Linked DNA regions of Callithrix jacchus. The protein of the gene in region 5 purifies or fractionates together with the protein of the main gene of each other region. This does not show direct contact. Links are inferred from orthologs where the notes say so. Each region holds a gene or a part of one and is shown on either strand. Other genes may lie near its edges. The genes, in order: DCAF7, SUPT16H, RPS6KA1, GPATCH2L, CSNK2B, ARK2N and GPATCH2.

Evidence for each region.
Region 1: the proteins of CSNK2B (region 5) and DCAF7 purify together in Homo sapiens (affinity purification with mass spectrometry; 4 studies listed by BioGRID and IntAct, with this or other methods). This does not show direct contact. The link is inferred for Callithrix jacchus from reciprocal best matches to the Homo sapiens genes CSNK2B and DCAF7.
Region 2: the proteins of CSNK2B (region 5) and SUPT16H fractionate together in Homo sapiens (co-fractionation; 4 studies listed by BioGRID and IntAct, with this or other methods). This does not show direct contact. The link is inferred for Callithrix jacchus from reciprocal best matches to the Homo sapiens genes CSNK2B and SUPT16H.
Region 3: the proteins of CSNK2B (region 5) and RPS6KA1 purify together in Homo sapiens (affinity purification with mass spectrometry; 4 studies listed by BioGRID and IntAct, with this or other methods). This does not show direct contact. The link is inferred for Callithrix jacchus from reciprocal best matches to the Homo sapiens genes CSNK2B and RPS6KA1.
Region 4: the proteins of CSNK2B (region 5) and GPATCH2L purify together in Homo sapiens (co-immunoprecipitation; 3 studies listed by BioGRID and IntAct, with this or other methods). This does not show direct contact. The link is inferred for Callithrix jacchus from reciprocal best matches to the Homo sapiens genes CSNK2B and GPATCH2L.
Region 6: the proteins of CSNK2B (region 5) and ARK2N purify together in Homo sapiens (co-immunoprecipitation; 3 studies listed by BioGRID and IntAct, with this or other methods). This does not show direct contact. The link is inferred for Callithrix jacchus from reciprocal best matches to the Homo sapiens genes CSNK2B and ARK2N.
Region 7: the proteins of CSNK2B (region 5) and GPATCH2 purify together in Homo sapiens (co-immunoprecipitation; 3 studies listed by BioGRID and IntAct, with this or other methods). This does not show direct contact. The link is inferred for Callithrix jacchus from reciprocal best matches to the Homo sapiens genes CSNK2B and GPATCH2.

What each region holds. Positions count from the first base shown.
Region 1 is NC_133506.1:88,863,307-88,866,806, reverse strand, and holds part of DCAF7 (DDB1- and CUL4-associated factor 7), read right to left. Parts: intron 305-3,500; coding exon 132-304; 3' UTR 1-131. UniProt on the Homo sapiens protein: Involved in craniofacial development. Acts upstream of the EDN1 pathway and is required for formation of the upper jaw equivalent, the palatoquadrate. The activity required for EDN1 pathway function differs between the first and second arches.
Region 2 is NC_133509.1:55,882,703-55,886,642, reverse strand, and holds the start of SUPT16H (FACT complex subunit SPT16), read left to right. Parts: upstream 1-1,140; 5' UTR 1,141-1,232; coding exon 1,233-1,298; intron 1,299-3,940. UniProt on the Homo sapiens protein: Component of the FACT complex, a general chromatin factor that acts to reorganize nucleosomes. The FACT complex is involved in multiple processes that require DNA as a template such as mRNA elongation, DNA replication and DNA repair.
Region 3 is NC_133508.1:63,192,467-63,196,613, forward strand, and holds the start of RPS6KA1 (ribosomal protein S6 kinase alpha-1), read left to right. Parts: upstream 1-1,347; 5' UTR 1,348-1,403; coding exon 1,404-1,538; intron 1,539-2,354; coding exon 2,355-2,471; intron 2,472-3,237; coding exon 3,238-3,319; intron 3,320-4,147. UniProt on the Homo sapiens protein: Serine/threonine-protein kinase that acts downstream of ERK (MAPK1/ERK2 and MAPK3/ERK1) signaling and mediates mitogenic and stress-induced activation of the transcription factors CREB1, ETV1/ER81 and NR4A1/NUR77, regulates translation through RPS6 and EIF4B phosphorylation, and mediates cellular proliferation, survival, and differentiation by modulating mTOR signaling and repressing pro-apoptotic function of BAD and DAPK1.
Region 4 is NC_133509.1:111,081,051-111,085,280, reverse strand, and holds the start of GPATCH2L (G patch domain-containing protein 2-like), read right to left. Parts: upstream 2,801-4,230; 5' UTR 2,731-2,800; intron 410-2,730; 5' UTR 400-409; coding exon 1-399.
Region 5 is NC_133505.1:39,169,663-39,173,776, reverse strand, and holds the start of CSNK2B (casein kinase II subunit beta), read right to left. Parts: upstream 2,801-4,114; 5' UTR 2,685-2,800; coding exon 2,609-2,684; intron 2,288-2,608; coding exon 2,205-2,287; intron 1,241-2,204; coding exon 1,138-1,240; intron 556-1,137; coding exon 440-555; intron 1-439. UniProt on the Homo sapiens protein: Regulatory subunit of casein kinase II/CK2.
Region 6 is NC_133514.1:89,266,856-89,270,355, reverse strand, and holds part of ARK2N (protein ARK2N), read right to left. Parts: intron 624-3,500; 5' UTR 554-623; coding exon 1-553. UniProt on the Homo sapiens protein: AMPK substrate important for exercise capacity and skeletal muscle function.
Region 7 is NC_133520.1:11,521,275-11,525,240, reverse strand, and holds the start of GPATCH2 (G patch domain-containing protein 2), read right to left. Parts: upstream 2,801-3,966; 5' UTR 2,682-2,800; coding exon 2,626-2,681; intron 1,718-2,625; exon of another isoform or gene 1,637-1,717; intron 375-1,636; exon of another isoform or gene 196-374; intron 1-195. Other genes in the region: spermatogenesis-associated protein 17-like, read left to right, coding at 3,089-3,156. UniProt on the Homo sapiens protein: Enhances the ATPase activity of DHX15 in vitro.

The DNA.
Region 1 (3,500 bases), on a different chromosome or scaffold from region 5:
CTTCTGGTAACAGTGGGTGCAAAGCAACGAAAGACATACTGGCCACTGGAAACATGTTTCTTCTTACTTTGGGGTGGGGCAGAGGCAGGAAACACACAAGGCCCTGCCTCGTGCGCACAGCGCCACCAACATTACACTCTGAGTATCTCCAGGCAGTTGTTGTAGCAGATGGCGATCCAGTCGGGCTGAGTTGATGCCCACTGCACATTGTTGATCTCTCCTTCAGCTGTGTAGGCCAGGATAGGGTCCTCAATTGCTCGGGGCATTTGCTGGATGTCCCAGATGAGAGCCTGGTGGTCATCCGCTAGAGACAAAGAAAGCCAGCAAGCAAGGTCACAACTGAGGCAATGGGGATGATGATCCCTGTATTTCAGGAGCAAGTCACAGTTTACAAAGCAGTTGATCACCAAAACTCCGTGATGGAGGTTCTATTTTAAACCCCCATTTTATCGATGAAGAAAACAAGATTCAGAAATGTTAAGGCACTTGTCCCAAATCACACAGCTGTGCAGCCAGTGAGCAGCAGAGCCAGAACTCAAGTCTAGGCCTTGACTCCATCTTGCAGGTGTCCCTAGGCTCTATCCACTGCACTAATGAGCCCTTCTCACCTGGGTCAGGTATCAGGAGTGGACCAGGGGATACAAAACATGTCATTTGCAGCCACTTAAAATACTGGAGTTATAAGATCCTTCTCTGATCATTCAATATAATGAGAAGGTTTCTTCCCATTTATACTTCAATGAGGTATTATAGAGAAAGAAGACTGATAAAGTAGTGTTGATATGTGCTGTTAAAAAATTATTTCCTGGCTAGGCCTGGTGGCTCACACCTGTAATCCCAGGACTTTGGGAGGCTGAGGCAGGTGGACCACCTGGGGCCAGGAGTGGCCAACATGGTGAAACCCCGTCTCTACTAAAAAATACAAAAAATTAGCTGGGCATGGTGGTGCGTGCCAGTAATCCCAGCTACTCAGGAGGCTGAGGCAGGAGAACTGCCTGAACCCAGGATGCAGAGGTTGCGGTGAGCTGAGATTGCGCCATTGCACTCCAGCCTGGGTAACAAGAGTGAAACTCTGTCTCAAAAAAAAAAAAAAATATATATATATACAAATAAACCAGGCATGGTGGTGCACACCTGTAATCCCAGTTACTCAGGTGGCTGAGAATCACTTAAACGGGAGGCAGAGATTGCAGTGAGCCAAGATCATGTCATTGTACTCAAGTCTGTGCGACAGAGTAAGACTCCACCTCAAAAAATAAAATAAAATAAATAAATAAAGCCAAGAAAATATCTATGGGAAACACCAGAAAGAAGACAATCACCTTAAATATATAAAAGCACGTGAAAAATGACTAGAAGGAAATATATCAAAATGAGAATGGTGGCAATACTAAGATGGCAAGGTTATGTTTACTTTTCTCTAGTTCTGTAATATGTTCATATTACTTTTTGTTTGTTTGTTTGAGATAGAGTCTTGTTCTGTCACCCTGGCTGGAGTGCAATAGTGTGATCTTGGCTCACTGTAACCAATGCCTCCTGGGGTCTTCTGCCTCAGCCGCCTAAGTAGCTGAGAATTCAGGCGCACCAGCACAACCAGCTAATTTTTGTGTTTTTAGTAGAGACAGGTTTTACCATGTTGACCAGGCTGAACCTGAACTCGTGACCTCAGATGATCCACCTGCCTCAGCCTTCTAAAGTGCTGGGATTACGGGCATGAGTCACCGCACCCAGCTTACTTTTATAATCAAAATAGTAAGTTAATTTTAAAAAAAGCAAAAAAAAGGCAATGGTCTTCAGAGCTGCAGTTTACCCTGACTCTGCCATGCATTCTGATGAAAGCTGGTCTTAGATACACAGGGAATCTGAATAAACTAAGCCTTAATAGGCCAGGCTAATTATGGGCAATACTGGTATTCTACCGAGACCGCATAGTCTGGGCCAGGTGCAAGATCCCTCTCCCAGGGACAGTGTATACCAAAAGATCAGGGTATTGCCCTCTAAAGCACTAAGTTCCTTATCCTCAGTGCTCAACTGAGCACACTTGAACAACAGCTCCTTTGGTTGAAGGGGCTCAAGGCAGGTGCAACACACTAAATGACAGAGAGCAGGGCAAAGGCAGCAGTCAGGAGCAGAAAATGCAGCTTCTAAGGGGCCAGTCCTGCTTTCCATGAATGTTAGATGATACCTTTTCTGTTTCTTCCATCCCTCCCTGTCCACACCCCTAAAAAAATAAGAGGGCAATAACGAAGAAGACAGACCATAACCTGAGGTATATAAGGCGGCAGCATGCCCCCAACTGCTCTTCAAGAAGACATACAGGCATGAGCCCAGGGCCAAAATCAGGAGAAGCTTCATGTCTTCAAAATAATGCTCAAATGGCAGAAAAACACCAAAGTACATTGCTTCTTGGGCTTCATAACAAACCTTGTCCATTATAAGGATACTGATTAGCGAGGAGAAGAAAAATGCACACTAAAAAAGTTAAGGAGCAAAACACCACAAAGCTCGGACAGAATCCCATCGTGCAAAAGGAAGATGTATAGAATTGTCTTTAGGGGTATGGATGTACACTCCCGAATGTATACCAAAAGGGTCCGGAAGGAGACACATGAACTGTTGATAGAGGTCATCTATGCAGAGTGGGATGGAGGCAGAAATAATATAGGAAGGAGAAACAATGACTTTCACCTTAAACATGCCTCTGTACTGTTTTCATTTTAAATAACAGATTGGCATTCATTATAGAATAAAAGTGCACTGACAACCAGCATATTTTTCTTTTCTTTTTAAAAAATTTATGTTAGAGGCAGGGTCTTGCTTGGTTGCCCAGGCTGGAGTGCAGTGGCACAATCATAGCTCACTATAACCTCAAACTCCTGGGCTCAAGGGATCCTCTCACCTCAGCCTCTAAGTAGCTGAGACTACAGGAATTCACTACCACACCCAGATAATTTTTTAACTTTTTGTAAAGAGGTCTCACTATACTGCTCAGGCTGATCTCAAACTCCTGGCCTCATGCAATCCTCCCACCTCAGCCTCCTAAAATGCTACAATTACAGGCCTGAGATGCTATGCCTGGCCCAACATATTTTTAAGAGGTATTGCTTTTATTTATTTATTTATTTGTTTGGAGATGGAGTCTTGCTCTGTCACCCCGGCTGGAGGGCAGTGGCATAATCTCAGGTCACTGCAACCTCCACCTCCTGGGTTCAAGCAGTTCTCCTGCCTCAGCTTCCCAAGTAGCTTGGACTACAGGTGTGTGCTGCCATGCCCAGCTAATTATTTTTGTATTTTTAGTAGAGACAGGGTTTCACTATGCTTGTCAGGCTGGTCACAAACTCCTGACTTCAGGTGACCCACCCACCTCAGCCTCCCAAAGTGCTGGGATTACAGGTGTGAGCCACTGTGCCCAGTGAGTAAGGGGTACTCTCTTTGGTCTGGGAAATAGTGAAATGAAAACCACAAGTCACACACTGCAACCAGGGAAAGTTCTGTGGGGC
Region 2 (3,940 bases), on a different chromosome or scaffold from region 5:
TTCCTTTGTTCTATATTTGCTCAAACCCAATGTGAGTATTGATTTTGGGAGGTGGGTAATTTTAGCACCACGTTGCTGAAGTTAAGTACTATCCATACTAAATTACCTTGGATAGAGCAGATTAAGTCATTTGTACTTCTCTAAAGGGCATAATGTAAATGTAGACAGTCCAGCTGCCTAAAGGCAAGGGAATTCTTTAAGGTAAAAGGAGGACAAACTTCTGGATTGAAACTCCCAAGTTTTTAGAAGAAACAGGAAGCAAGCATTTCATCAAGAACCATGTACATTTTGTTTCTAATTACCTGAAGTAACGGTTCTTTGGGGGGAAGGCATAGAATAGTGTCACTTTTCATGAACTGCAGCAAGGGGACTGGCTGACTGGAAGGATGCTCAAGGGATTGGGGTTGTGGAAAGGAACTAAAGGTGTGTGAAGCTCCTCAAGTCATTTATTTCCTCTGACTTCTACCATCCCACTGCTCAGACAAAGCCTGGGCATATAATTTTCCTTTCGAAAGCTAGGTTCCTTCCCATAGCTTGGATCGTAGTTTATCGCGAGGCTGGGCTCCATTTCCTAGGTATGAGATCTCTGTCCCGGCGGACCGCTTGACCGAGCATTCTGGCACCAAGGATTCCTCTGGCCCTGGAGCAGTTAAAGACGTGTATCCCCCATCGTTTCCAGGAGGGGCGCGTGCCCAGTTACACTGTTGTATTTCCACTTTTATCCCACGCTGCATCCCGCTCTTTCCGCTCCCCTTCTTTTGCTGATGGGGTGGAGCTATCACGCCCGCGCGCGGCAGCTCTTGTTGGGCTGCGCAGGCACCGCCTTCTTCGCTTCGCCTAGTGGCTGCCGCCTCGGCAAAAAGTCTGAGGTCCTGGAAACCGCGGCTGGGCTGAGAGTTAAGGGCGGAGGCAGACCGTCACGTGACGACGTAGATTCGCGTGCGGCAGTGGCGAAGTCCACAAAACCCCGCGAAAATCGACTCTTTGCATTGCAGGTTTTGTTGATTTTCTTCGTTTTTCTTTCTCTCCGCCCCCTACCCATCCGAGAGAGGATTTAAAAAAAAAAAAAAAAAAATTCCTAACGCTGTCGGGACCCGGAAGCGGAAAGGGCATCTTTGAGGTCGATACTTCCGGGTCACTGGGAGAGTGCGGGATTCCTGGGCCGAAAGCGGGTGGCAGAACCGGGACTTCGCGTGATTCTCGGAACCCGAGGAGAAGCGGTGTCCGGGGCTATGGCTGTGACTCTGGACAAAGACGCTTATTATCGGCGAGTGAAGAGACTGTACAGCAATTGGCGGGTGAGGAAGATCCCGTAATTTTTCTAGGGAGCCCCCTCTGCCATCCCATAATAACCCTGTTTCTCGGCGCCCTTTTTTCTTTTTCGGTCGGGAATTCCTGGGTTCAGGGTCTACCCCTTTTCGTTGCTCCCGAATCGTTCACGGGAGGCGACCACGAACGCTGCCCCGTAACAGGGAATCCCCCGCATTCACCCTGCTGCGGCCATCACCATCCACCCCGCGTGCCAGCCTTGATCATGCATAACACAGCACTTCTCGCAGTCTCTTCCCGCCCTAGAAGAGGCAACATCCTTCCCTCCTACTCCGTGGTAACGTCTTGCTGCCCCCTCCTGCGGTGTTCTTACGCACCCACGCACTCGCTGTGCCCCTCCGGAACCACAATATTCCACCCCTGGTCCCGCCAGAATTATAACCGTCTTCGTAAAGGAGAGATGGAAGGGCAAGGAGGATGCCAATCGGACTCTTAGCCTTTGTCATTTGCGGGGCTTTTGCTGGAGTTAAAAAAAGAAATACTGCTCACGCGCAATCGCCTCCTGTTCTAGGCCCTGGTGTGGGTTAGAGAGAGAGAGAGAGACCTAACGCTGAAAGCCTGCAGACAAAAGTAATACCAAAACAAAACGATGCCTAAAACCTTATTAGTTCCTTGGTTGTGTATCTGTGGGCACGTGTTCAGAAAAAGAGCTGTGGCAGTTCTCAGTTTTTTAAAGATAGGCAGTTTTGCTGCTTTAAAAACGGCCACAGTTTAAACATTTTTATGATACTAACTTGAGCAAACACTGGGTTGCTTTCTGTGATGCAGTCTGAGTTGACTAGCTTGTCTTGCCTCTGAATCCTGTCATCAAGGAAGATACAGCTAATAAAGATTTTTTTAATTAAACCTGAAAAACATTTTGAGAAAAATCAGTTTTCATTTCAGCTTTGTAAGTTATGGTTGAAACTGATCCTCTGCTAAAACCAAGCCATTGAAATTGGTTATTTCCTTGCCATTCCTATTAAAGATGCCTGTGCATGTTTCATCTTTTGAAGCTAAATACATTAGATAATTGAAAATAAAAAGGATTCTCAGTTACATTTTATGAAAAGCAAAAATAAAAACTCAGTGCTAGATGAATGCTGAACGTTTTAATTTTAATTTTTATTTAATTTTTTTTTTTTGAGATGGAGTTTCGCCCTTGTTGCCCAGGCTGGAGTGCAATGGTTTGATCTCGGCTCACTGCAACCTCCACCTCCCAGGTTCAAGAAATTCTCCCTCAGCCTCCGGAGTAGCTGGGACTATAGGCGTGCGCCACCACGCCCAGCTAAATTTTGTGTTTTTAGTAGACACGGGGTTTCACCGTGTTGACTGGGATGGTCTCGGTTTCCTGACCTCGTGATCCGCCTCCTGGGTCTCCCAAAATGCCGGGATTACAGGCGTGAGCCACCACACCCAGCCTGTTTTTTGAACTTTTTAATTAATTTCCACCTAATGATTTTTTACAGCTTGTCTCACTGTCATATTATTATTCAAACATGATCTATGTTAGAAAAACGTTTTAAAACCTTGATACTTTCTAATGATCGGTAAGTACTAAAAATCTGAAACCCTCTTTTCTACCCATAAACTCTGAAACTATACACCTTTGATACAAAATTGTTTCTAGTCCCAGTGATTTAGATTCATCAAATAATTTCATTCTCTCTATACCATTCATAAAAGCTAATGTGTGGCTCTAAATTCTCCTACATGATGATTAACTGTGGCCTGAAGATAGATTGCCAAACCTAATATAAAACGATAGTCTTTAAATCCATGAAAGTTATTCCCCACCCACCATTTTTTTTGTTTTGTTTCTCAAAAATCATTAAAATTTATTTTGGCCCTCTTATTATCTTAGTGACATCATCTTGGGAAAATGTTAGATACTGATAAGACACTCACTGATGGTATAAATAAAGTTATGAGCCAAATCTGTGTTAAAATGTACCATTTAACAAAATCTGTGGCTATTATGAATAAAACTTTCTGCTTTTGTGTTAATAATATGTCCAGAACCCACCTGTAGAAGTTCTTTTTGTATGCAGTATTCAGCATACGTGCTTTCATTCTGATGTACTTAATCAGGGATAGTAGTTTTCTGGGATAAATCTGGTTTCTTATCCGCCTGGATATAGCAGAAACATAGTGGGATATATAGGTGTGTTGTATAACTTTTTTCTCATTTACACCTTTTCCTTTTTTAGTAAGAAAACTGGGATTGAAATAGAATAACTTAAAGTTAATGGTAAAAATTCCAAGCCTGGCTGGGTATGGTGGCTCATGCCTGTAATAATCCCAGCACTTGAGGCCAGGAGTTCAAGACCAGCCTGGGTAAGATGATAAGACCCCCGTCTCTACAAAAAGAGAAAAAGCAAATAAATTAGCCAGGCAGGTGGTCTGCACCTCTAGTCCCAGCTACTCGGGATGCTGAGGCAGAAGGATCCCTTGAGCCCAAGAGTTTGAGGCTGCAGTGAGCTATGACTGCGCCATTGCACTCCAGCCTGGATGAGACCTCGTCTCTTAAAAAACAAACAAACTAACAAAAAACAAAAAAAGAATCCCAAGCCTTGTGCTGTCAGCTTCCATTAAAAAAAAAAATCCATATTATGACTAAAATTAAAGAATG
Region 3 (4,147 bases), on a different chromosome or scaffold from region 5:
ATTGCACTCAGGAGATAGTCCTCTCAGCCGATAGCTGGACCCCCTCAGGTCCTGGCATAGGAGGAAAATCCTAGGGAAACAGACAACCTCAGAGGTGGGTCTCCAAGAAATATCAGACTGCTCTCTTGAGTTTGCAGACTGTGCCCCTTCTTCTCTTTCCCCACCCCAAGTACAGCAGCAAGAACCCACAGTTCCATGCTTAACCCCTCCCTGGGGATCCCTGCCCTGCTGCCTGCCTGCCTGCCTGTGTGTCTGCCGGGCATCAGACCTATCTGTCCTAGGTGTCTGCCAGTCTACTTGGGCCTCACTGACACTGGCTGTTTCTCTTTGCTGCCTACCTGTGTCTGTTGTTGGATTACAATCTCTGTCTCCACTTGATAAGTACCTGCCTTCACCTGTTGGGCACATGTCACATGTTAGGTGCCTGTTGTTCATGTCCCCTTCTGTCTCTACCTGTTGGGTTTATGTCTTCATTTATCTCTGCCATTGGATACATGTCCCCTCTGTCTCTGCCTGTTGGGTACCTGTCCCCTTCTGTCTCTGCCTGTTGGGTTTATGTTCCCTTCTGTCATTGCCTGTTGGGTTCGTGTCCACTTCTGCCTCTGTCTGTTGGGTTCATGTCACCATCTGTTTCTGTGCTGTTGGATACATGGCCCCTTCTGTCATTGCCTGTTGGGTTTACGTCCCCTTCTGTCTTTGCCTGTTGGGTACATGTCCCCATCTGTCTCTGGCTGTTGGGTACATGTCCCTTTCTGTCTCTGCCTGTTGGGTTTGTGCCCCTATCTGCCTACACACATTGGGGATGAGCTTCTGTTCACCTCTGTCTGTTAGATATGAGTCCCTTCCTGCTGCTTCTTGTTGGGTACATGTCTCCATCTGTTTTCTACTGGGTATGAATTTCTCCTGCCTCTGCCTGTTGGATAGGTATCCTTATCCATCCCTGCCTGTTGGGTATGTGTTCCCTCCTGCCCCTGACTATTAGATGCCATTCTTATCTGTTTCCACCTCTTGGGTGCCTGCTTCTGCCTGTTGGGTGTCTCTCTTCGTCTGCCTCCACAAATCAGGCATCTGTCTTTGCCTGTTGGGTACCTATCTGCTGTTGGGTACCTGTCTGCTCAGCAGCTGCATTGGCAGGGGGCTTTCCCCTTGCAGGCCTCTGCAAAGGGAGGATGGGGGAATGGCCAGAGGGCAGCCCTCAGACACTGGGGAGTGGGGAGAGAGGAAGGGAACGTGGTGAGGGTGTAGGCCTGGAGCTGGGAAACCACAGACCCTGAGTGATTGGCTGCCCTGGGCCGGGCCCAGCCCCCGCCCTTACCCTGCACATCCGCCTTGGTCCGGGCCACCTCCGCGGCAGCCCTGGTCGCTGCCTGCTCCTGCCATGGTGCTGTGGCCCTGCTGGGCGGATGGAGCAGGATCCCAAGCCGCCCCGTCTGCGGCTCTGGGCCCTGCTCCCCTGGCTGCCCAGGAAGCACCGGCCCAGGATCAGCCAGACCTCTCTGCCTGTCCCTGGCCTTGGCTCTGGCTCCCAGCAGGACTTGGTGAGTGTGCCCGGATGTCTGGTCCTGGCCTGGCTGTGTCCCTCGCACAGGTGCCTGGGAAGCTAGCTTAATGCAAGTTGGCTTTGGTCTGTCCTGGCCCTGCCAGGGGTGACTGGACCCTGCCCAGACTTGCTTCCTGGGGAGGTGAAGAGGCACTTGAGGGCTTCAAGGTAATACCAGCAGATTGGAGGGAGGTTAGAGTCCTGGAACAGTGAGGCTCTGGCAAGGCACTTCTAATAGGTTTGTAGGAGGGAAGTTTGGGAAGATGAGCCATGCAATCTCCGGCCTTAACTCTGACCTGCCCCAGGCCAGCGCTGACCAAGTCGATGGGGGAGTTTGGGTGACTCTTGGGTCTTTGTGCACCTCAGCCCTGTCCTACTGACCAGAGGGATCCCTCTTCCCATCCTGACCAGGAATGAAGGCCCAGCTCTACCTCCCCATATGAGAACAAACCTACTTCCTATTGTGGCAAAACTAAAACAGCAGGGGGAGGGAAGCCCCACGGGCAGACCTGGGACAGGTCTCTGGGTCTCAGCCAAGTCGGGTTAGCTGAGCCTGGCCATGCCTGGGCATCCCTCTGGGCCATCCAGAGCATCAGGAGCAATAGGAGTGGTACCTTTTCTGGTTTGACCTCACCAACCTTTGAGGCCCTTTTGAAATTGATGTCCCTGGAGGCTAGCCCTTCAGGGAAGTCATCTGTTGGGCCTTTAGGTCCCATCTGCTGCGGTCTGGTGGGAAGGGACTTGGGCAGGGGGGATATGCCTCCTGCTGCCCAGATGGGGCCCACTGTGCCCACCAGCTCTATCCCTCCATCAGGATGAGGGCGTCCTCAAGGAGATCTCCATCACGCACCACGTCAAGGCTGGCTCTGAGAAGGCTGATCCATCCCATTTCGAGCTCCTCAAGGTTCTGGGCCAGGGATCCTTCGGCAAAGTGAGTCATGAGCCCATGGCTGTGAAGGCAACGTTGGTCATGTTGGAGGTGGGGATCAAGGCTCACCTATGGGCCCAAAGTATCAGAGGTCACCTTGGTACCCACGGAGAGCAAAAAGGTCAGCTTGGGGCTCAGAGAAGATACAGGTCATTGGCCAGGCGCAGTGGCTCATGCCTGTAGTCCCAGCACTTTGGGAGGCTGAGGTGGGTGAATCACAAGGTCAGGAGGTCAAGACCATCCTGACCAACATGGTGAAACCCTGTCTCTACTAAAATACAAAAAATTAGCTGGGTGTGGTGGTGGGCACCTGTAGTCCCAGCTACTTGGGAGGCTAAGGCAGGGGAATCACTTGAACCCAGGAGGTGGAGGTTGCAGTGAGCCGAGATTACGCCACTGCACTCCAGCCTGGTGACAGAGCAAGATTCTGTCTTAAAAAAGTAAAGAAAAAAAGAGGCTAGACATGGTGGCTTACGCCTGTAATCACAGCACTTTAGGAGGTTGAGGTGGGCAGATCACCTGAGGTCAGGAGTTCGAGACCAGCCTGACCAGCGTGGAGGAACCCCGTCTCTACTAAACATGCAAAATTAGCTGGGTGTGGTGGCGCATGCCCGTAATCCCAGCTACTTGGGAGGCTGAGGAAGGAGAATCGCTTGAACCTGGGAGGTGGTGGTTGTGGTGAGCTGAGACCACGCCATTGCACTCCAGCCTGGACTCAGCCCTCTCCCATCTCCCATCTTATCCCCTGCTTCCTGCTCTGCCTTCTCAGGTCTTCCTGGTGCGGAAAGTTACCCGGCCTGACAGTGGGCACCTGTATGCCATGAAGGTGCTGAAGAAGGCGACATTGAAAGGTGAGTAGGGACACCTCCCTGTGCAGAACCCAGGCTGGGCTGAGGGAGGCAGCCCACACTTCAGGGACCTTGGTTCTGGCAAGGAAGACAGCTCTGTCTTCAGAGCACCTAGTTCAAAAGCGGAGAGACAGGCCTATGTCTCAGCCATCCCTCCCCACCCAATCCCCTTCCCCTAAGCCAAGTGCCAATGACTGGCTGTGAAGGTCTGGAAGGTAGTAATAGGATAAATGCATGGCTGGGCGCAGTGGCTCACGCCTGTAATCCCAGCACTTTGGGTGGCTGAGGCGGGGGGATCACGAGGTCAGGAGTTTGAGACCAGCCTGGCCAAGACGGTGAAACCCCATCTCTACTAAAAATGCAAAAATTAGCCAGGCATGATGCCTGTAATCCCAGCTTCTCAGGAGGCTGAGGCAGGAGAATCGCTTGAATCTGGGAGGCGGAGACTGCACTCCAGCCTGGGCGACAGAGTGAGACTCTGTCTGAAAAAAAAAAAAAATTGGATAAATGCAATGTGTTTTTCAGGGGAGGGACCCTCAGATACCAAGCTGGTCTGGCAGAGGCGTTCTGACTATTGGCAGGGTTGCTTCATGATGCTAGAAGAGTCTGAGGGAGACCTCTGTGGCCTCTAACTCATGGGCCTGAGAGAACGGCATGAGTAAAGAGGCAGGGAGCCCAGGGAGGCAGCTGGGCAAGGCAAGAGAGGGTGAGTCCAAGCAGGACCACAGTGCTGGATAGCAGAGAGGTTCAGAAGGGAGCCCAAGTCAAGCTTAGAGTTCTGGGGACTCACAAAGGGTGTGAGGATAGTCGGTAGTGGGCTTTGGGTTGGGC
Region 4 (4,230 bases), on a different chromosome or scaffold from region 5:
CTTCACCTTCCGCCTGCGTCTGAGTGGTCGACAAGGTGCATTTTCAGTAAAGGAGTCAGATTCATGCCAAGAATGTTGCTTACTCTTAACAATGGCATTGAGAGCTGGGTGTCGTTTGGCTACCATTGTGTCATCAGAGTCACTAAAATTGGTCACAGGAGCCACTTCTCGACAGTCCTTAGTGGCCTCATCCAGACTTGACTCAGAGGCCTCGCTGTAGCAGCAGGTATGCTCTGCCAGGTGAGTGAAGTCAGAACGACGCTTCCGACCTCGGCGTTTCCGAAGCTGCCGCCTCTGCTGCCGGGGACTCAGGGCCATCTCCTCCCACAGCTCACCAAGCTTATTTTGCTCAGATGTTTGCTCCAAGGCTGATGCTAAGTCGTGTACCAGCTCATCCATGAGGCCACATCTCCCAAAAGGAAGTTCAGAGGGGAAAAAAAGAAAAAGAAAAAGAGAGCCTGAAAGGATCTGTTGTTTTGGAATAATTTGATAAAACAGATCATAGTAGTCCATAGTTCCGCCTGCCTAAACAAAGTAAGTAACCTTTCATCTGGCTACACTTAGATTCTGTTCCTACCACTTCCTTAAGTCACTAAAAATAGGTGTTCTGTCCCTTGTTAAATGACTGAAGTCAACATATCCTTAAGCACAAAAACCTGCTCACCAGATGACAACTGGGACAGGACCCAAAACAAATTTGGGGAACTAGACCCGTCTCTCTTTCCCCAATTAAACGTGTCACTGAATTACCTAATGATGAGATCCAGAAAGATTAGAGATTGTCATTAGACAGGAGTAGAAAAACACACAACTTCAAAATCACAGCAGAGCTGTGGAAACACAGAGCAGGACACAGTCTCAACGAGTATTAAGAATGAATAAAAAACTGCTCTTTGGCCTGGGGTCACTGCCTTCCATGGCCATGGCAGAAAGACAACTTAGTGACACCCTTTAAAGAAGACTGCAGTTTTTGTGATCCAAGAAATTGTGGTGCCCAGGTTTGAAGTCAGAAAGGAGAATAGACTAAGTTTGCACCCATTCTGGTAGCAACTACCACCTGAAAGCTACCAGGTATAGAACCTCATATAGTATGTCATATATTTCTGAGTAATTAACAATTTTTAAGCCCCTTTCCTATCCTTCAGAAAATAAATGTTCATCCTACTTATGTGCTTCAGTGCCACACAATCACTGGAAAAAAATGATACGACAGCAGCTGAAATGACAGGGATAAGTTGAAGTTTCTAAGATTTCTGGCCGAACTGCTTTCCAAAATTTCTTATTTTTCTATCCATCCTCAAACCAAACATCACACTTCAGGAGTCACTTCAGAGGCAAACATTTCAAGAAACGAGAGCAGTAGGAGCAATCTTCAAAATTCCCTCTTAAGGGGAAATGTTTAATATAATTTGTACAGCACCTAATTAAATACATATTAAATTTTTAGCACTTTTTTCGTTGCCCCTGTGCCCAAAGTATTTCAAGATCAAAACTAGAGCTTAAAACTCTATGTGGTGCCACTCTGACCATATTTCCATTCATTCAGTTTTCACTTTGCAAAGCGTTTTCTAAATACTATTTTCATGCCGTGCCTACGTCAATGAATTTAAAGGCAGGAAAACAGTCCTCTGGCTTATCTGCCACACCTTTAGGAGCAATGGTGACACCTACTTCCAAAACTGCCATACAAACAAAGCTTCTCAAACTGTCCAAAGGCACATACACTTTTAAAAGGCCAAGTTCTTTTAAGCAATAAGAAGTGATTTATCAACACCTGTGAAAAGAGGAGAAAAAAAATGGGGGGGGGGGAGCTGGTTAAAAATGCCATGATTGAGGTTTGGGAGACAACTGTCCCTAAGACCAAAATAGAGAAACAAGTGGGAACAGCATGCCTAAATCCACTTCCCTAATAAAGAATTACTGCTTTAAAAACTCAGGCGACAAAAATACAAAAACAAAAGTACAAACAAAAACCTCAGAACAGCACAAACTTGAACAGGGAACGAAGTCAGTAGTCGAATGCCTGTGCAGAATCCTTTCCTGCATCAAAGCCTGCAACTCGAACAGTAGGTGACAGAAGGTCCCTAGGGCTTCCATCTCCAGTCGAGTGCACACTCTCGAGAGGACTCGGCGACCAGGCATGCACCCGGGTAGAGATGAGGCTGAGTCACGCACAGGAAGGAACTGGTAGTTGCGGACAGCAAGTAAGAAGAGAGGCAGGAGCAGGGTGGAAGTGAGGGGCGGAGTAGGAGATGCGAGAGGCAGGAGACAACTTCTCATTTGGGCTCACCAAGGACGGGGTTCGGCTATTCTAGAGCAGAAACTGCCAAAATGGAAGTCGTAGCGACTGAGCTCCCTCCGGGATCGGGGGTCGCAACATGGCCACGTATGTGAGAAAAACTGTTTTCGAAGGACTCTCCACCACGCCCCGGCCCGTCCCTGAGGGCTGGAGCGACCATGGCCCGTTTCCCAAGCCCTCATGCTGCCGCCAGCCCCAAAGAGGCAGAAAGAAAGGGGAAAAGGGGGCTGTGGCCCCGGAGACTGTCCGACCCACACCCCCAGGGATAGGGACATGGGCCCTGAAAAAGCAAGGCCCCACCACCCTCACCCTCCGGCCGGCTGCCGCAGCCCCAAGACGCCCTTAGCCGCTCAGCCGCTGCTTGGCGATCCGATCCCCTATGGCCCTAGCCCTCAGGACCCCAACACTCTCAACCCACTCCACCCCCTCACCAGCTGCCGCAGCCACCTCGAACGGCCGCCGCTTTTTGGGCCGATTCTCACCGCCGGGGTTTCCCTCTCTGACCTCATTTCCGTTCTGGGCCGGAGGGGTGGGGCGGCGGCGAGTGGGTGGGGCTGGCTGCAAGAGCGGGCCCCCGACCCAGTGCTTCCGCCCGTGGCCACACCCACTTCCGCCCTGAGGTGGGCGGGGCTGCAGGAAGCCGGGAGATGGGGCAGGGACCAAGGAAGGATGGTGAATAGGGGCTGGCCGGGAAAGGGCGCCTCAGGGGCTGAGGTGCCCGTGTTGGGAACTACTCCAGCAGGCTGGCCTCATCTTCCTTAGGGGCGTCCAGAAATTGACGCTAGGGAGGGTTGTCAGCTTCCCCCTTGCTTTCTGACCTTTATAAAGGGTGTGCGAAGTTGAGGGGAAATGGATCTTAATGACATCTGCCCTGTGAGCTGGTACAACCTTTGGGGGGGTTGTTTTGCACTGAGTTACTCAGAACATTACAAACTGCCTTGAGCAAGTGATACTGGATTATAACTCAAAGTATAAAAGAAATATTCGTGAATCCATACCGATATAAATAAACGACTGAATGAATTAAAGATTGGAGAAGAAACAAATCCCCCACAGAAGAATCTCAAAGTATGCAGACACACCATCCTGGAGCATAAATTCCACCTCCTTAAATGTGGGCTCTGCATATTGACTTCTTTCCCAAAAGTACAACATATGAAAAGGGGAAAGTGAGTAATTTTACAGTGGATACCTGGCAAACAGTAATTCAGCCAGGTGACCAAGAGTACGTGCTAAATCATGTTGATAGTATGTGGAATGATATGTAATGAGAATGGCACTTTATGATAGTGTCCTTCCATATCTCATAACCCCAGTCTAATTATAAGAAAAGAAAAATCAGGCCAGGCGTGGTGGCTCACACCTGTAATCCCAGCACTTTGGGAGGCCGAGGCGGGTGGATCACGAGGTCAAGAGATCGAGACCATCCTGGTCAACATGGTGAAACCCCGTCTCTACTAAAAATACAAAAAATTAGCTGGGCATGGTGGCACGTGGCTGTAATCCCAGCTACTCAGGAGGCTGAGGCAGGAGAATTGCCTGAACGCAGGAGGTGGAGGTTGCGGTGAGCGAGATCGTGCCATTGCACTCCAGCCTGGGTAACAAGAACGAAACTCCATCTCAAAAAAAAAGAAAAGAAAAGAAAAATCAGACAAACCTGAATTGAGGGACATTCTGCAGAGTGCATGATCAGTATTCATCAAAATGGTTAAGGTCAGCAAAAGCAAGGAAAGTCTGAGAAACTCAGAGCCAGGAGGAGCCTAAGGAGACATGACAATGTAATATGGTATCCTGGCTGTGACACTGCAATTTAAAAAAGAACATTAGGTAAAAACTAAGGAAAACTGGATAAAGTATCAACTATAATAATGTATTGGGCCAGGCGCGATGGCTCACGCCTATAATCCCAGCACTTTGGGAGGCCGAGGTGG
Region 5 (4,114 bases):
AGGTGAATAAAATGGAAGGGGTTGGCAGGTAGGTGTTAAGAGAAGAGGCAACTCCCTTCTCAGCCCAACCCACATCACTCTGTCCCCCACTCCTCCCACCTCTGTCCAGAGGCCCCTTCACTGGCCCAGATGGGCTCTCAAACTCCTATGTTGCCTTTCTTCCAGTTAGGCAGACAACAAACCATCAGAGCCATTCACTGTTTGTTCCTTGAGGAAGAGCCAATCTATAACAACTCTCTGTTCAAGGTCTGTCTCCCTCCCTGAAAACGATCCCTTCAGGATGACCCCCAATCAGGATTAAATTCCAAGGCCCAAGTTCTGGGGTTCTTCCCCTCTTCTCAGCTAGCTTCCTTAGCTGGGCTGAAACATGACTTCTTGCTGCAGGAACCTGTTTCTCTTACTGCTCAGAAAGAGGCAAGTGGGAGCAGAGTGGCCTCACCATCTGGGCAATGCCACGGTTGGTAAGGATGTAGCGGGCGTGGATCAATCCATAAAGCATCTCGGCTGCCTGCTCAATCAAGTCACTCTGGTTGGGGTTGTCTTCCAGTTCTTCATCTGAAACACAGCCCAGCCAAATGCAACCACTTGTTTTTCAGCTTTCCTAGGTGCCCTGCCCATACCCAGGGGCTGCTAGCTATTCAGTTTGCCTAGCACCTACTTTTGAGCCTTACCCTATCCAACACCTGGGCATGTGACCCAGAAACCTGGGCTTCTGACGCTTTCACCAGCCCAAGGCAGAGCTCTGCCTTCTCTTCACACCTCGTCAGCCTCTGCCCTCTCCTCTCCTCTCCTCTCCCTCCCAACTCCCTCCTCAATACATAAATGCGACAATATCAATGCAGAAGATCAAACTCCGGACTAGAAGGTCCAAGGTAGGAGAAACAGACAGCAAATGAGACCCATGAGGAAACCCATTTTGGAATAGATCCGAACTGTGGATTTAAAAAGTATGGGAAACAAGTGATAATGCGTCACAAAACTAGACAAGAGTCAGGTGGAGGATCAAAATAAAGCATGAATTTGGGGTTAAGAAAATCAGAGAACCAAAGGAAATTTCAAAATTCAAGCAAGTGAATAGGGATCTGAAGAGAAAAAAAAGTACACGCACACACACAAACAACCCTGAGGGTGCCTCACCAGGCTCCAGGTCCAAGATCATATCTAGAGCTTGTCGATAGTGAGGGACCTGCTCATTGAGTCCAGTAAGATTAAATTTGTCCTGGATGTAGTCTTCATCCACCTGTCAGGATATGGAAGCCAAGAGGGAACCCATGTCAAAATCTCCATCTTTAACGTGAGCAAAATGCTCTAACTGATGCCTTGTTATCAACCTAACTGCTCTGTTCCCCCTTGTTTCTCACTTGAAACTCAGCAGAAGTACTCGCGTCTCTTCTCTGTTCACCTATACTCCCTCCCATAAAAGCTTTGGCTTTTGTTTTCTAAGGATAAGCAGGTACAGCAGTCTTTTTCTTAGAGAGACATTCTTTTCAAGATCTCTATCCTTATTCCTGTCTCCCATCGCTAGGAACCATTTTGTCCTCTCAGCTGGCTAAGGAAGGTGGAAGCTGAACAGCCTGGTTTCTGAACAAAAGATTTGGATACGTAGCATTTCAATTCTCCTAACGGCCACCTGAGACAGGTACTAGCAGTGCCACTTTAGTAATAAAAGACACACGCTGGGTGCACTGGCTCATGCCTGTAATCACAGCCCTTTGGGAGGCCAAGGCGGGCAGATTACCTAAAGTCTGGAGTTCGAGATCAGCCTGGGCAACCTAGTGAAACCCTGTCTCTACTAAAAATACAAAATTAGCTGGGCGTGGTGGCAGCCACTTGTAATCCCAGCTACTTGGGAGGCTGGAGCAGGAGAATCACTTGAACCTGGAAGGCAGAGGTTGCATTGAGGTGAGATCACACCACTACACTCCAGCCTGGGTGACAGAGCAAGACTCGGTCTCAAAAAGAAAAAAAGAGAAAGTCACAAATTGCCTAGTCCAACGTTATATTGCTGGAGGATGGCAGAGTTGGGACAGGCCCCAATTTTGCCACTTTAGCACAGATTTGCCGGGGGTTACTGAGGGGACTCTTCATTGATGGGAAGTTTTCAAGTAGCATATAAGAGAACGATGAGGAAGTGGAATATGTGGAGAAACGTCTAGTGGGAATCTATGTGGAGCTGGCAAGGAGGGGGGTTGAAGAGAACTCACTTCACAGAAGAATTCATTGCCACGGAGCCCACAGAACCAGGAAATCCAGGACACCTCCTCTGAGCTGCTCATCTTCACGTCAGCTGGAAAACGAAGAATGTCAGTAAAGCTCAAGTTCTCCCTCCTTGCCTCTGGTATCCTCCCTCCTCCCACATTCGGCCCTCCAACCACGGGAGACTTTAGAATTTGGAGCCGTCCTTTTTTAAAGGATCCCAAACTCTGAAACACTCCTCTCCAGCTCCTCTAATTTACGTCTCAGCTCCTTTTCTTTGAGGTTAAACACACTTTGGGGTCCCACCACTTGAGAGAACCCAACAGATACTTTGACCCACCAGCCTGACCCACATCCCTGGAGCTCCCGAAGGCCAGGGCCCTCTCTACTTTGTGTCACCTCCAGCACGGACCTCGGCTCAGGCTCCCTACCACTGCAGCTCTCTGCATGACCCCGGCGCCTTTCCCAAGCGTTTCGAAGTTTATCATTCTCTAGCAAGAGCCGGGCCCCTCCTCTTCTTATGGGCTGGAGCGACCGTCAAGTCCCTTTCACTGGAGTCCACACATCTTGCCTCCGCTCCTCAGGCCACCTCTCCCTCCTTTGTGCCGGACCTGGTCGCTTCCTCCCCCGCCCCCACATCAAAGTACGGAGACCCCATGTGCTGCTCCCAACAAGAGACTCTGAGTAGCGACGACCTCAGACTCACCGCCTGGACGGGGACCAGGACTGGGGTGGGGTAGGGAAGTCGCTAGTTCCAAAGAACGGCGGCGACCGCTACAGCGCAGGCCGCGGACCCGACCGCGGCAAGAGAAGTGGGGTGGGGGGGAGTGGAAATTGGGGAGGGTGGGGAAGAGGGCAACACGCAAGCGCCAAGGGTCAGGTGCTGCGATGGATGCCGGGACACGGAGTCCCAGGTAGAAAGAGAAACTGGTGAAATGAAGGAAAAGCGAACTACCAATCCCAGGAAGACCCGCGGACGACCTGGCTGTCACGAAGCCCCGGAGGAGGACGCTTGCGGGCGGGGCACAGCGAGAAGCCACCGGAAGCGGAAGCCAGGTATGACGTTTGGGGCCAGGGAGCCTGGGAAATATAGTTGTGTGCTCACTGGGAGAAAAGCCGAGATGGGGCGGGGAGAGGAGGGAGACACGCAGTTCCCGTCTAGTTCCGGCGCAGCGGGGCGCTGCTGCCCAGGGGACTGGCCCATCCCCGGCCAATCCGCTGGGTCCTTATTGATTGTTGAGCCCCTAGTGAGAGTCAGTCCCGCCGGACACCCTTGACTGGCCTCCTGTTACCCTCCCGGCTCTGGCCTCATGAGGCGAGAGGTGCAGTTTGGCTCCGTGCGTAGGGACTTGGGTTGGGTGGGCTGGGCTGAGCTGAGCTGAGCGTTGTGAGAACCAGAACGGCCCAGTGCGGTAACCTGAGGTGGGGCCAGCCATTTCGCTCGTCCCCTTGCACTTCTCCTTTTACGCTCTAAGTGTGACCTTAGAACCCTGGTCAGAGTAATGGTGAGGGGCAGGCGTGACGTTATTTCATTTCACGGCTTCTCGGCATTCCACAAGTTTCCCTCCGCCTCCTGAGGGCCTTTCCTAACACGGAGAGTGGATTCCCAGGTCCAGAAAATGGACTTGGAGCGAGGGGGCGGGGAGGGGGGCGGTTCACGTTGAGGAAGGCGAAGGGCATTGTGGGGGCGTATAGGTAAAAGTAGAACCCTAACCGACAGATCCTGGTGCTCGCGCCAGCGGGGCGCGCAGAGCTTTGCGCGTTTGCTATTGGAAAGGTTCCAGCGCGGGAAACTGAACTGGGAGCTTTGCGCACGCCTGAGCCCTCAAGTAATGTGGGTTGTGGTTTTTGTTGTTGTTGTCGTCGCCACGCATGCGTCTTCGTGCCGTGCGGCTGTTTGATTGTGTCAACTCTTCTG
Region 6 (3,500 bases), on a different chromosome or scaffold from region 5:
ACCTGATCCTCTCCTTGTGCTTTTGGCTCCGATGACCTTTAACCTTGGCGACTCGGCCATTCTGTTTATCACTTGATTGCCGGTTTTTCTTGGCAGCCATAGTGGATGTTTCACTTTCAGATCGGGACCGCCTAGACTTGCGCCCAACTGTGGCACCAGATACTCCTGAAGGGTCTCCTTCTACTGCTGTTTCTGCCTGAGAGGGTTCATTCTCTTCTGCAGAAGACAACGTATCTGAATCAGCCAGGTGACCACTAGAGGAAGGGGAAAGCATGCAGTGATTAGAGGAGTCACTCTCATAAACTCGGCCAGTTGTAGGCTTGTCACTCTCTGTGGATGCTAACTGAGACTCAGAAGAGTCCCTTCTCAGTTCCATCAACAAGCAGGGCATTGAAGAAATAACAGTAGACTCTGCTACACCATCTTTCTGAACTTGAGATTCCAGTTCTACAGATCCATCTTCCTCCTTGGCTGTCTCTTGTTCGGACGTTTTTGGTAGGGCTTCGGACTCAATGAGTTCTTCAACTTTTCCTACTGCCTCCTCCATCTTCATTTCAGAATTTCAAGTTAAATCATGAAGCAGAGTCTAGGAAATGATATCAAAGATGCAACAGGAAAGCAACCTGTACAAAAACACACAAAGTCAATAAACAAAATGGCAGATTATTTAATCAACACAACAACATGCCTACCTTTCTTTTTTTTTTTTTTTTTTAATTTTTTGTTTTATAAAGATGGGGTTTCACCATGATGGCCAGGCTTGTCTTGAACTCCTGACCTCAGGTGATCCACCCACCTCGGCCTCCCAAAGTGCCAGGATTACAGGCGTGAGCCACCGCGCCCGGCAACATGCCTACATTTTTAGGTAGAGCAAAACTTACCATTACACAGGTCCTTAAAATACAGGTATTATTATCTGCTTGTTTGATCAACAGTCAAATTCAAAGGACTTAATACCATCAAAATCTAAAAATGCCATAATATTAATCCTCTATTACTGAACTTACAAGGCCAACAGGTAACAAACATTTTAAGTTTACGATGTTAGTGTTCTAGAAAGAAATCTTCAGCCAGGCACAGTGGCTCATGCCTGTAATCCCAGCACTTTGGGAGGCTGAGGTGGGTGGATCACGAGGTCAGAAGATCAAGACCATCCTGGCTAACACAGTGAAATCTTATCTCTACTAAAAATACAAAAAATTAGGAGGAGAAACGAAGGAGAAAATACTAAGGGCAGCCAGAGAGAAAAGTCAGATTACCCACAAAGGGAAGCCTATCAGACTTAACAGCAGATCTCTCAGCAGAAACTCTACAAGCCAGAAGAGAGTGGGAGCCAATATTCAACATCCTTAAAGAACAGAACTTTCAGCCCAGCATTTCATATCCAGCCAAACTAAGCTTCACAACTGAAGGAAAAATAAAATCTTTTATGAACAAGCAAGTACTCAGAGATTTTATTACCACCAGGCCTGCTTTACAAGAGCTTCTGAAAGAAGCATTACACGTAGAAAGAAACAACCAGTATTAGCCTTTCTAAAAATATACCAAAAAGAGCATCAACATAAAGAAGAATTTACATCAACGAATGGACAAAACAGCCACTTAACATCAAATGGCAGTAATCCTAAATTTAAATCGACTAAATCCCCCAGTCAAAAGATACAGCCAAAACCCAATGGTATGCTACATCCAGACCCATTTCACATGCAAGGATACACAAAGACTCAAAACAAAGGGATGGAGAAAGATTTACCAACCAAATGGAGAGCAAAAATAAATAAATAAATAAAAAGCAGGAGTTGCAATTCTCGCATCTGATAAAATAGATTTTAAAGCAACAAAGATATAGTGGTAAAAGGATCAATGCAACAATAAGAGCTAACGATCCTAACACCCAGACACATAGAGACTTAGGCTCAATGAGACAGAAAATTAATAAGGAAATCCAGGACTCGAACTCAGATCCGGAACAAGTAAACTTAATATTTATAGAGCTCTCCACTTTTAATACACAAAATATACATTCTTGTCAATACCACATCACACCTACTCATAGGTTTAAATGAAATATTGATTGGCCATTATTAATACCCATTTTTTAGAATAAAGCAACATTTCCGTTCTTTCTCCCTGTTTTTCTTCCTCTTTCTTCTTCTCCTTCACCTCTTTTTCTTTCTTTCTCCCCCCCAAAAAAAGAAAAAAAGATTACCACTTTTAAGTAGCATCACCAAAACTTAAAAACAATACTTTATCTTCCTTTTCCTTTCCTTTCCTTCCTCCTTTTTCTCCTTTCCTCTCCTTTCCTTTATAAAAAAAAAATTAGCCAGGCGTGCTGGCAAACGCCTGTAGTCCCACTTACTTGGGAGGCTAAGGCAGGAGAATTGCCTGAACCTGGGAAGCAGAGGTTGCAGTGAGCCAAGATCACACCACTGCACTCCAGCCTGGATGACAAGAGTAAGACTCCATCTCAAAAAAAAAAAAAAGAAGAAAGAAATCTTCAAAACTCTGATATGCCTTTATTAACTTTGATATAAATGAAAAAAGAATGCTTTAAAACTAGTCTAGAAAACAATGCAATAGCTGGAATGACTACTTTTACATTCAAATCCTCAAAGAAAGGAGGTGGGGGAGGGGAGTTACAGTATAGAAACATCAAATGTACACCTTTTTTGTTTTGTTTTGTTTTTTGAGACAAGGTCTCACTCTGCCACCCAGGCTGGAGTGCAATGGTGCGATCTCAGCTCACTGCAATCTTCATTGCCCTGGCTCAAGCAATTATCTTGCCTCAGCCTCCCAAATGGCTTAGGCTACAGGCACACACCATTGCACCTGGCTAATTTTTGTATTTTTTGTAAAGACAGGATTTCATCGTGTTACCCAAGCTGGTCTTGAACACATGAGCTCAAGTGTTCCACCCACCCTGGCCTCCCAAACTGCTGGGATTACTGGAGTAAGCCACTGTGCCTGGCTCCTACACTTATATTTTATACACACACACACACACACACACACTCTCTCTCTCTCACTCTCTCTCTCGCTCTCTCTCGCGCGCTCTCTCTCTCTCTCTCTCCCTCCTTCAACTACATGCATTTGGCAAATGAGCAACCAAATACTATGCATCAAACCTGTCTGCAGTCCCCTCAATAGGAGTTGCTCTAGTGAAACACTAAGATGAAAGGCCAGAATCTATCTTTCCTGAATCCTACCTAGTTCCCACGTACCTCATCATGCTGAACATGAGTCTAGTGTTCAAATGGATGTTTTATCAACAATGGTCACTAAATACAGAACCCAGAAAACTCAGTATATTCTATGACTGAATTAAGGGGTTTAAGAGAAAATACTCTACACCCATTTTACACTTTGTACGCTAAATTTAGAAACTAACACTCTGCCACCACTGTGAGTAATACAACTCCAATTAACCATACAGGTACAGGACATAATATTTAATCTCAAGAGCTTATGACCTATACAGTTAAGTCCTTAACATTTTTGGT
Region 7 (3,966 bases), on a different chromosome or scaffold from region 5:
TTTCAGATTTCAGATTTTTCAGTTTTTCAGATTTCAATAAAATCAAAATACCAAATAGGAATGAAAATACAGAAACAAAACTCCAGAGTCAATATAGTTTATCTTAACAGCTTTTTTTAAAAGCAAAGCCACATAACAAAGTTAAAAAAAACAGAATACCATAGTTGAGTAAAGAAATTACCTACGTTTATCCACCTGGTGCCTAAAAATTGAAACAGCAACCTCCAAATTGGAGAGAAGTTGAAAAAGTCAAGATGAGCTGGGCATGGGGGTGCACGCCTGTAATCCCAGCACTTTGGGAGGCCAAGGCAGGCAGATCATGAGGTCAAAGAGATCGAGATCATCCTGGCCAACATGGTGAAAACCTGTCTCTACTAAAAATACAAAAATTAGCGGGGTGTCGTGGCATGTGCCTGTAGTCCCAGCTATTCAGGAGGCTGAGGCAGGAGAATCCCTTGAACCCAGGAGGTGTATGCTGCAGTGATCCTAGACAGCACCCCTGCACTCCAGCCTGGTAACAGAGTGAGACTCTCTCTCAGAAAAAAAAGAAAAGAAATGAAAAAGAAAAGAGAAAGTCAAGATGGGAGCTAAATAAGTTAGAAATTCCAGACTGGTTAATAAATCTGGACATATAACTGCTAGTTTACATATTGTATCTCATTCAGAGACATAGGCAATCTACAAGTTATTTAAGAATTTGGGGGGGGGGTATATTGGAATCATCCTGCAAATACAATACACTTAGGCCAGTTACTTAAACCATCTTTGCTTTTGCATCACCTTATCTAAAACACAAAGAATGATACACCTACCTCAAAGGATTTACATGAGACGACACATGCATGTAAAACCTGGCACCTAGTTAACTGCTTAGTAGCTGTATTCCCAGTGGGACTGGAATTTATTACTGGGATTACACATATATGTTGTATAGTAAATATCTGTCCAATTAATGAAAAAGAAAATTCCATTAAGGAATCTGGAATGACTGTATAGTCATACAGGCAGACTAAAAAATAAAGTTCCAGTTTTTTGGAACATGTTCATTGTGCCAAAACAGGAATGACTTTAAGAATTTCATTCAAAAATACTAACTGCTACCACTTTGTTATACTCTGGTGCCATAGGAAATGGTTGTATGACAAGAGAGCCTTTAAAAGAGAATTGAAGGAGGTTTCTCTCAGTACATAATCACGATTTGGAAGGCAGAAGAAGTTGAGAGAATCAGTCCTCTTCTGATGCAGTCACCTATCCTACAAATCAAGAGTGCCCTAGGAAGAGCAGACCAATCTACAGATGACACTTTATCTCCCTGATTTACAAAGATAATGAATGGTGAAACATTAAGAAAGGTATCCTTGAGAGGGAACTGTGGGATGATGGGCAAGTCCATTATCTCGTTTTGCGTGGTGGTTATATAAGTATATACAATTGCCAAAACTAATAAAATCAAGCACTTAAGAATTATGCAGTTCATTCTATGCTAGTTACACCATTAAAAATTGGTTCATTTAAAAAGTGCTCCCTACTTTTCTCACTAGAAAATGTGATAATTTAAAAAGAGTAAAATCAAATCTATATTCATTATAAACTTAACTACAGGATGACCTGCCCTAACTAAAAAGATTTTGGATACCTTTGCAATGATAGGTGATGTAAAATAATTCTTGAAGATCACAGACTATTAGACTTCCTCATGTTCTAATTTTTGCAGAATCTAGGAATGAACATGCACTGTTTAGCCACATTTCTTTCACCTGTTGGTCAAAACTTTATGTTTAAGGTTTTCAGTAGGAAATTGATTGTTTCACTGGTTGTCTTGTGTTACGTTTGGAAGAAAAGGGCTTGGGAGAAAAATAGGACAGATATTACAGTATTCAACTAGAAATCCCAAAACCCAGATCCTAGCTCTAGGATTAAAATGTACAGGGCAACTGTGGACAAGACACTTGGATATTCTGTGCTTTTGATATTCTGGTATCACAGGGCTGTCATAAGACAAAGTGTATTAATTTGTGAAAATATCTTTTAAAGTCAAAGCAATATATTATTCTAACGTGGCACTGGTGACATGATACCATAGACATAGTCAAGCCCCAAACTTAATCCTAACGGTTGTAAAATTAGTTCCTGGAACACCCCCATACACATCTCATTTGAACTTAGAATGTTCAAGAGGGTGGAAGTAGGTTCCCCCCTCCAAAAAAGGGGGTGAGTGATGTGTTTTCCATTATTGAACTTATCTTCCAAGAGACTTAGTATAAATTGGTGAATTTTGAAAGAGGAGTGGGGAATAAGGCCCAGATTAAGATAAATTCTTCCTGTGCCTAGTTTTGTCAACAATCAATGAGGAGATAAAACCGCTCCTGGGATTACAGGAAGCATGACTTCCAAAATATTGCTAAGCAATCAGCAAACATTTACTGTACTCTTTCACAATTTTTTGGCATACTCTCAAAAGCTCCCTCAAACTGCGTGCATCTCAGGAATGAGTGAGAGCAAGGCCTAGATGTCTTCAGACCATCCATCACAGCTCCCTCCCGCTTCCATTCCAGGTCCAGCGGAGCGGCCTCAGGCCATCACACCCTTCCCTGACCTCCCCCTCCCCAGGGCCGCCAGACTCACCAGCTGTTCCCGGCTGCTGGAGCTCCGATCGGTTGGCGCCCGGCGGCCCCGAACATTAACGACACCCAAGAGCCTGGCCACAGGCTCAGGCCCGTGAACAGACTCCAACTACTACAGCACCGGCGACTTGCAAAATACAGTTCAGCATTTTGAGATGAACTTCCGGAAGCCGACTGAGGCCGAAACCGGATGCCTGGAGCAACCATTAGTTCTCCTCGCCTACTGCTTTCCCTTCCTATAATCCCCTCCTCATACTCGCAGTAGAGACAGAGACAAATAAATTAAACTTTTTGTGCTGCAAAGAAATTTCTTAGTTGTCTTTTTAGTACTCTTAAAGTCGAAATAGCGTCAGAGAAAAGAGCAGTGAGCAAACAATGGAACCCCCCCGGGAGTGAGCTATGGTTTAGCCCAGTTACCATGGACACCGGTAGGCACAGCAGTTGTAAGCCAACGCCAAGAGACCATGGCCACTTTAGCCTGGCTGCAAGCTAGGTCGTTGACTGTAGGAAATGAGTACTACTTTAGGAACAGGTAAGTCAGAAAGAGAAGGATCGCGTAAAGGGCTGGCAGAACTTGCTATCAGTTGTTCCTCAGCGGGAGTTTCCAATTAACGATTTCCCTAATTCATTAAGTAACACCCAATTCTCCCCTTAATGGGCTGGAAACATAATCGTTTGTTTGTATTACCATACAACAAAATTCTAAATAGATAGGGGCCATAGATACTCAGTGTGAGAGGATTTAGGGAAACCCTCAGCATAGATAAAATTGTAAAGTGTTTTTCTTCGATATCACCACTCTGTGATTTGATGAAACCTATGTTCTTCGGGTTCAAGGTTCAATACCCTGACTGGGGTTCACCCTGGCTCACTAGCCCACTGGTTTCCGACTGCTCCCCATCTACCTAAGGATTTGAGCCTCCAGGATTTCACAAACGTCACTGAACTCAATTGTTCTTTGACTCATTTGCCTTTTTAAAATGAAAGTATCAGGCCGGGCGCGGTGGCTCAAGCCTGTAATCCCAGCACTTTGGGAGGCCGAGGCGGGTGGATCACGACGAGTTCAACAGATCGAGACCATCCTGGAAACCCCGTCTCTACTAAAAATACAAAAAATGAGCCGAGCGCGGTGGCTCAAGCCTGTAATCCCTGCACTTTGGGAGGCCGAGGCGGGTGGATCACGAGGTCAACAGATTGAGACCATCCTGGTCAACATGGTGAAACCCCGTCTCTACTAAAAATACAAAAAATTAGCTGGGCACGGTGGCGCGTGCCTGTAATCCCAGCTACTCAGGAGGCTGAGGCAGGAGAATTGCCTGAACCCAGGAGGCGGAGGTTGCGG